Linked DNA regions of Schizosaccharomyces pombe. Changing the gene in region 1 together with any one later gene gives a genetic interaction. Each region holds a gene or a part of one and is shown on either strand. Other genes may lie near its edges.

What was found.
Region 2: of cig1 (region 1) and crs1, changing one enhances a phenotype caused by changing the other (phenotypic enhancement), as found in Schizosaccharomyces pombe (one study listed by BioGRID).

Annotation. Positions count from the first base shown.
Region 1 is NC_003421.2:1,225,570-1,230,026, reverse strand, and holds cig1 (G1/S-specific B-type cyclin Cig1), read right to left. Parts: upstream 2,802-4,457; 5' UTR 2,483-2,801; coding exon 1,235-2,482; 3' UTR 724-1,234; downstream 1-723. Other genes in the region: cardiolipin synthase PGP phosphatase domain-containing Gep4, read right to left, coding at 1-303; meiotic cohesin complex STAG protein Rec11, read left to right, coding at 3,102-3,366, 3,433-3,545, 3,631-3,729, 3,779-4,128, 4,173-4,317, 4,375-4,457. UniProt on the Schizosaccharomyces pombe protein: Required for efficient passage of the G1/S transition.
Region 2 is NC_003423.3:3,451,496-3,455,468, reverse strand, and holds crs1 (cyclin Crs1), read left to right. Parts: upstream 1-1,952; 5' UTR 1,953-2,062; coding exon 2,063-2,350; intron 2,351-2,391; coding exon 2,392-2,551; intron 2,552-2,591; coding exon 2,592-2,647; intron 2,648-2,699; coding exon 2,700-2,880; exon of another isoform or gene 2,881-2,928; coding exon 2,929-3,146; downstream 3,147-3,973. Other genes in the region: myr1 (N-myristoyltransferase 1), read right to left, coding at 59-245; protein mug110, read left to right, coding at 934-1,008, 1,052-1,723; ade9 (trifunctional formate-tetrahydrofolate ligase/methenyltetrahydrofolate cyclohydrolase/methylenetetrahydrofolate dehydrogenase), read right to left, coding at 3,317-3,973. UniProt on the Schizosaccharomyces pombe protein: Has a role in meiotic chromosome segregation.

The DNA.
Region 1 (4,457 bases):
TTTCCTAGTTCCAATGGAATTGCTGAGCAAGATAACGTTTTTTTCTCCATAAATATTTTGGAACTCCCTAATCTTTTTCAATTCTGCTTCAGCAATTGTAGTCTCATTTGGCAAAGTGATACAATTATCTTTGTCGAGAACCAAGGCACGAATATCAACTGGTACTTGAAATTTTTGTTCCAAAAAGTAGTTTATGTTACAAGGAATTTGGGAGAATGTAGGAAATGTAGCATGTGGGATTATTCGACGAGGATTTCGAATTGTCTGACAAAATGCTTGAATTCCCTCGATATTAATCAACATGCCAAACAAAGATGATGATAATTAATAAAACAATTGTGTTAGTTTTGTTGTGGATTAAACGATGATAGAACACGTCTTAGATTGCTGAAATTATAACTTGTTGGTGTCCAATGAGTTTAGAGTTGCTAAAAAATGAATAAATGAGATAAATTACTACGTATGAATACTTAATTAAAAAACATCGAGTGGGTTTTCTCAGTTCTTAAATAGACTTGAAGTATGTAATAGGCATCTTTACTACTAAGGATGAACCACAAATGGCTGATTTTTACAAAACAATAGATGTCTGAAAGCATACTAACATACACCAGATTGAAAATACTAGACCTGTGCAAACATCGTTATACAAGGTGTGATGGACTGTCAATGATCTCCCAATAATATTTGTGAAACCAATGCAGGACGTGAAACAAATATGAAGAGAAAAGGTAAAAATAGTTATGTTATTTATAAAGTTTAAGCCTAACTACATAAAGATCAGTAGCAACAATTAGTCCAATTAACCCGTCGATCATGCCCAAAGGTCGGATGAGACGATTGTGTAAAGGTAGGACAAAATTAAATTAAAAAGGTATTAATCCAAAAAAATAAAAATGGTTTAAGGGGTATCAAAAAATAATTACAATAGAGATACCCGTAACGTTATTTAAGTATAGTAAAAGATATAGAAAACAAGATGGAAGAGGGAATTCGGAAAGATAGTTATAAAATAGACAGTAGTTCCAAGTCTCTGGGGGATAATAGGGGTGGTTTAAACGACAAACTTAGCAAACGGAGTGGAGAAAAACTACTACCTTAGGTAAGATATAAAATGCCCTCGAGTGATTGCTGTAGGAAATATTAAGACAATGATCCGTAATAATAAATATCGTAGGCTTAATAATAGCAAACTAACTCAGAATATCATTGTTAACAACTTCTGAAAGCAAACTCAAATCACACTTAGTACCCAGTTGTGAGCAAAGGCGCTAACTCGCTTCATTCTATTCTCCGAGTACTTTCGGTAAATGGCATTGTGATGGTTAGGGGCATCGACCAAACATTCCATAATGATTATGGCACACGGTTTCAATTGACGAGCCGTGTACCCACTATAATATACATGGCAAGGAGTCCAATCCAAATGACCCAACATCTGCATAGACAAGTAGTAGGCAGTAGCAGCAATGAAGCTAATATGGGCACCTATAAAAATTTCATCCATCAAGGTTACTTCTTGAAGATATTTGGCGAGCATGCGAATGTCGTGATCGTAAGAATCAGCTCGACTTATACGACGCAAAAACGACATGGGCCCTGGCCAACTAATGTCAAAATCCAAAAGCATCAGCATATAGCGCTCGGCTCTAATGATTTCGTCAACGGTGAAGATCCCTTGGACAACATGCGCAAAGTTGTAGATGCTTGGAGGGTGTATCTCTTCATACTTACAGGCAATCAGCAAAGCTGATAAACCTACCAACTGGACTTTTTGCAAAGATACGACTTTTATGGAAAGAAACCGGTCGATAAGGTTTACCGCCAAAAATAATGTCTCAGGAAGTAAACGAAAATGTATTTGAACTTGCACAATCCAATCAACAAGCATATGTCTTGTAACCCAGTCAATCTCTTGCTGAACTGACATGTAATTAGGAGGTGGAGCCAGCTTCCTTTCCAAAGATTGCATGTAGTGAAATATCTCAGGATCATAGTCTGGTACCATGGATGGATCAGTTTCTATATCCTCAGGCGATGGGTTAGCTTGTAATCGAGCAGCAGCTTCAGACAGGGCGGCTAAATCTTCCTTGGTCCACTCGGGAATTGTTGGTAGTCTATGCTTCCCGTGTGTAAGAATTCCTTCAGGTGCGTCAAAGCTGCCCTCACGGTTTTCCAAATCATCATCTCCAATAGACTTAGGAGTGGAGCGAATTGACCGTTCCTCTATCTCGACTTTGTCCTGGTATGCAAAATCCTCTTCAAAAGTGTCGCCAGTGGACGAAGAGATGGAGGATTCATTATTCCCTTCAATCAATGTTGGTTCATCTTGTTGATTGATGTTATCTACTGCCTTGAAAGGTGCACGAACACCCGTATTTAACTTGATGTGACTTTTCTTCTTCACATAAATGTGATCCTTTTGTAGCTGATTCTCATCTTGAAAATATGTTGCGTGTCTTGTTTGAGTCGAAACGTCCATTAGTAAACCAGCACACACTTGTTTAGAAAGTTTTGGACATGCGATGAAAGTCGGTTTTCAAACTGCCTTTTACTCAGGTAGGAACCCTAGTCTTCTCTTTGGAAAAGATCCTTAAAAATTTAGATGCTTTTCGACTTCTAAAAATTCGAAAAAATGACTCTACACCCAAATATATGAAGATACTATTGAACGAAGGATTCGAGGAAAGTAATCTTTTGGATTGACCAGAAAGATTAGTACTACAACAGTACAAGAACTAAAAATCTCAAATGAAACCAACGAACAAGAGTATTAACCAAAAGTTGGAGTAGGACTTTGCAAAGGAATACCGAGCTACTACTAATGAGAAAAAGGAGTTGGTGGGTTCTCAAAAGGGGTCAGGGAAAAGCCCGAAATTCCGAGTAAAAACGCGTTCTTATTCATAAATTAGTTACTTTATGTTTCAAAAGTAAAACTTTAATAAATTATTATATACTTGATTGCAATGGTTGTATGTGAACTGCAAAATAATTAATGACTGACTGACGCGACTCGTGTCACGTAAACAAACCCATCGTTTCTGTTAGATTAATCTTTGCCATAACCAACCACCATCGTACCAATTAATTGAGTGATTTCAATGAGATTCGAATTTGAATCAGATGCAAGCAGTCATCTCAATGAAGTCCTTACTGAATTAGAAAGCGTGGAGCTTGAAAATGTTGAATATGAAGGTCCAAGTTTACAGAATGTCAGCATTTGTGCCTCGCCCTCAGAAAAAAAGCGGAAATGGGGAACACAAGATGAATTTTCTTTGACGGAGAATGAAGAAAATAATGAAATAGAGACGAATGAAGAGATGCACGTAAATTCTCATGATTATGCCTTTCCACAAGAATTTTTTCGTAAGTTTGCTTGCTTATAAGAGAAAAAAAGTCTTCGATAATATATTCTAACAAGCATACGAAAAGTCAAACTGTTGGATATAGATATGCCGCTCGAGCAACTTTCTCAACATTATTTTGAAGACTATAAAAGTAATAGCGCTGACTTCATGCTGACCTTTATAAATTTCGCATTAGTTGTAAGTTTAGCAGGAATGATCCGCGACGTTTTCTAGCTTTTGCTGTTTTGTTTACTCTTCCTTTGAAACGTAAACTAATTCATAGGCCTCTGGTTGTCAACCCTTCGTTACGAACTTTGATGTACAGGACGTAGATTCAATTCCTGAAACATTGTCTCAGGTCAATCGTTCAAGTTTTCAAAAGGTGTGTGCATCATCTTTTTGTAATATTTACTTACCATACATATCGCTAGTCTTCTTGCGCTTATACTGATTATCTTTATACTTCTAACTCTAAAGAAGCTAAAACGGTGCGTATTCGTTTTCAGCTTTTTTTGGTCGAATTCATCAGTAAAGTTTACGTGGAAGACGCATTCCTCGGAGACTCATTCATGGAAACTACAAAAGCTTGGATTTTTACCATGACGACAAGTCCTTGGATGCTTGTTAGACATACTGCAACAACTATTTGCTGTGATATCATGCGATGCTTATGCCTTATAGTAAACAAACTTTCCGAAAAATCAAATCAAACTGCGGAAATTCTGGTACTGAGAGACTTAACATCTAGGTTCATTGACATGATTCACGACATTTGTGATAGGTTGGCAATACTACTTTTCTTAACGACTCTAACCTTTTTACTAGTGTACTATTCTCAAGGATTCATGATATACGTGCAAGCATTCGTATAGTGTGTGTTACTGCTCTATATGATTGTTGCCAATTGCTTCCCACCTATCTTATAAACAGAAATTTGATTAGACATTCTGGCTGGGGGTTATCTGATGCAGTAAGTGTATAAACAATCGCTACTGCTGTATCATTTAAATACTAACTGAACGTATAGGAATCACAAATCCGAAAAATCTCCTTAAAAATAATAGATTATCTTTCTTCTCATGAACCTGAAAAAGATCAAGATTTTGTGGT
Region 2 (3,973 bases), on another chromosome or scaffold:
GCATTAATATGTATAAAAGAATCTCAGAGTATATTTCAACAAACCAGGATAGGCATACCAAACTTAGGAACTGGCTGGGTTTTCCAAAATTTGAAATCTTCGTAAGTCTTTGGGGGAGCTGCAGCTTCTTCTTTTTCTATCAAAGATCTCAACGCCAATCGGTCTAGCAGTTCACGAATTCCTCCTTCAGAAAATGAGCTGTCTTGCTGTGAATTTTTTGTATTTTTATTATTTTCGTTGTCCATCGTAAATAATCCAAAAATATTAAAAATAAAGCAAAGTTGGCCGTAAAGTCAAGTTTGGTTCTAGCTTGGATATTTCCAGATGGACTAGGTCTACTAACGACAAAACGTCGGCTGCATAATAGAAGCGTTTCTCGCCAATGAACCTTCAAAATTTAATTTTACTACTTAATAAAGAGGAATAAAATAAAAAAAATAACTATACGTGAGAAACGCTTCAGCATATTGTTGTCTCCTTAGCGAACCAAATTTGATGATAAAAAAAATTAGTTAAAGTCCTTTATTAATTTTATCTTTAAGGGGAGATGGATTACTTAATGAGTAGCAGACGTTTGCGCTTGAAGCTGCTGCATTAATAGAAAACTCAAAATACAAATCATTACATAAGATTCCATGATCGTTTAAAAAATGAACAATAGATGAAATAGTAAACCTATTTATTTTGTCTCCATATTTTTATACTCGATAAAATGTATGAGTTGAACTTGGCACTTTTTTCGAGCGTTTGTTTGTTTACATGATCTTGGTATTTGCATTATTCGCATGAAGTCGAATCTCATCCTTTAACCATTTGTAACTGGAGTGGGATCCGAAGGAAAATCAATCTTTCTCTCTTTTTTTTGGAGCTTTGCTTGTTATTTCATTAACAAGTTTATGCTAAGCTTGGCTGAGTGCTTTGAATTAGGATCAAATGGTTGAATCGTCTGATGAAAATGATCAAGCTTCTAGCTTTGCTAGCACAGAAGACCTAAAAGAACTACGGTTTGTAAGTTAATTAAATTGTTGAAATTTAAAGGTTAACATTTTAGGTATTTTGGTTTTCTGTTTTAATCCCTATTTTCTTTATTGCCTTGATCATTATAAAAAGATATCATAGTTGTACTTACCAAAAGAACAGACTGCTAAGATCCATTTTCTGCTGCATGTCTATTGATGATGAGGAAGAGTTGGAAACAGATATGTACGATCTTCCAATAGTCGAGCCTTCTATCACTTTACCAAAATATTCTGCGAGCCTTCAAGAAAATGAACGGCTAGTTGGAATTGAAGGTGAGAGAGAAGGAATTGATGTTGTCTTGAATTTTTCTAAAGCTGGCGAAGGCGGTGTAAATCCATATCCATCCTTTGATACGCCTAACGCCAGAATACTTCAGCTTCGTCAGTTGGCGAAACTTAAAAAGCATGGACCTCGCATATCTTATCATGGAATAGGTATTGGTCGATGCAATGGGAATCGTGTCTTACCGCCATATCCAGAACCTGCTTTACTTCCTGAAGCTCCCAATACTCGTGAAGCATCTAACAACACTTACTTATACGGGTTTTCTAACAACTTTATAAATATCTCTCGAACTCTTAATCTTCGTTATCCTTCTGCCTCAGCGAGCATCTCAGATTCATTACCTCCACCCTATCAAGTGTTGTCTGTTCCATCCGTTACATCTACACATGCTTTTTCTAACAATGCAAATCAAACCTGAGTATCTCCTTACTTCACCGGTTCAGGAATGCCATAGTTATTATTTATGCTAGCAGTGTTTTCTCTTCTCTGGAATTTATAGCAATTCTAATACTAATTATTGTTATACTTCTATTTCATGTTTATATAAGTATATGCTATAAGCATTTATATGGCATTAGACTGTTTAATTCTACTATGCATGATTGATATCCAAAAGCATTTTCGCGTAAACGTACCAAAATGACCTTAACCACAACACATACCCAGATACGGCTAGACTTAGAAAATCACTATTGAATTTCTTAATTCAAACAAACATCCTTATTCTAATAATCATTTAAATTATAAAATTTATGAAATGCTTACATCTAAACACGAATTTAGCTTATTCTTAAACACTCCCGCTATTAACAGCAAATCCGAGAAAGAGGTTATTTCTGAAGGGCCGTTAACAACTTCTAATGAAATAGATGTTACATTTTCTGAGTCTTTCTCTAGTCATTTAATAAATCTTAGACGCGTCCCATCCGTTAATTCGATCATTGAGCAAGAGAAGAAAGGACTCACAAAAATATCCCCTTCTATTCTGAATCAAAACATTGCTTATAAGGAAAAGCGTCAGCAACTTTTTTCTGTACTTTATGAAGTGCGTCAGCATTGCTATTTTTCGAGATTCTAACGAAACAGGAAACTGTCGGCTACGTATCTATGGACACGTTGTGCATTGCAATTTCTCTGTTGGATCGTTGTTTCACCGTTAAACCAACTATTCCAACTACCAGTTTTAAAATTTATGCTATCGGCTGTCTGTTCATTGCATTTAAACTTACAAGTGACTACTCAGTTGGTATGTTCGCGATAAAAACTGTTATTAATTTCTTTTGTAGCGAAGAAGTCTTTTTGCGAGAATTTGGCTCCAAGTTTGTCTACAAAAAACTTAGAGGTTTGTAGTGATTTACAGCTCGTTGAAACATGTTTCTTTAACAAATTAATAGAAATACGAGAAAATTGTTCTTGCTTTATTAAACTTCGATATATATGTCATTTCTCTTCCTTCTGTTGAGTCTTTTTTAACACCGTTGATCTTCCAACATGTATTCTTTAAATCCTTGCCTTCTGAAAGCTGTGATCAAATGATGGTTGAATGGCAGTATTTACTGGTTGAGGTAATGAAGGGTTAGTAGATTGATAATATATTAATGGATAGCACGCTAATCTGAACAGATTGTCAATTTATCGAATATAGGCCGACGGAAATTTTATGCGCTTCGTTCTGGGTCTTGCTTGAAATTATTTGGCCTTCTGCGTTTGATTTCAAACCTTTTCAACATTTGTGTTCTTTGCCCACAAATGGTTCTGCAGATGAAACTTATATTAAACACTCAAATCGGTTTCACGATTTGATTATATCTATCCAGCGTATAGCGGATATGTTAGCATAAAGCTTCAAACCCATCTATTAACCCAAATTCTAATGAACTTAATTATTAAAACTAAGCTATTTAATCAAAACTCTAAACCCTTTTTAATAACGCCCATAAACCTAATTAACTAAAACAATAATAAATTACCAATGAATAGCCAACATTTTCTTTATTTCCTCTTAGTAGATTTATGACAGCCCAACAATTTCTCCATTTTCACATATATCAATGTTTAAATAGGCAGGCGCAGTCGGTAAACCAGGAATTGTTTGGATTTCAGCAGCTAGCGGATAAATGAAGCCAGCGCCAGCATTCAAACGCATATCTCTAATAGGAACTGTAAAATTTTTTGGAACATTGCGAAATTCGGGATTATGCGAAAGAGAATATTGGGTTTTCGCCATGCAAATTGGTAAGTTACCGAACCCTTGTTTGATAAACGTATTTATTCGTTCCTTAGCTAGAGAACTAAATTCAACACCGTTTGCTCCATACATTTCTTTTGCAATCACATTTACTTTATCTTCAATTGAAGTCTCGCTATCATACAAAAGCCTAAACTTCGAATTGGATGACTGATCACAAGCCGTCATTACGGACTTGGCCAATTCAATAGCTCCTTTGCCGCCTTGGGCCCAATGATCCGAAGGTACAGCATCCACAGCTCCAGCTTGTAGCGCTGCCTCGCGTATTATTTCATGCTCCTTAGAACTATCAGTCTTATAACTGTTGATGGCGACAACAACAGGAATATTGAATTTATGACAATTTTGAATGTGTTTTACCATGTTGGAACATCCATTCTTTACAAGGTCTAGATTTTCAACAAGATATTCCTCAGGAAT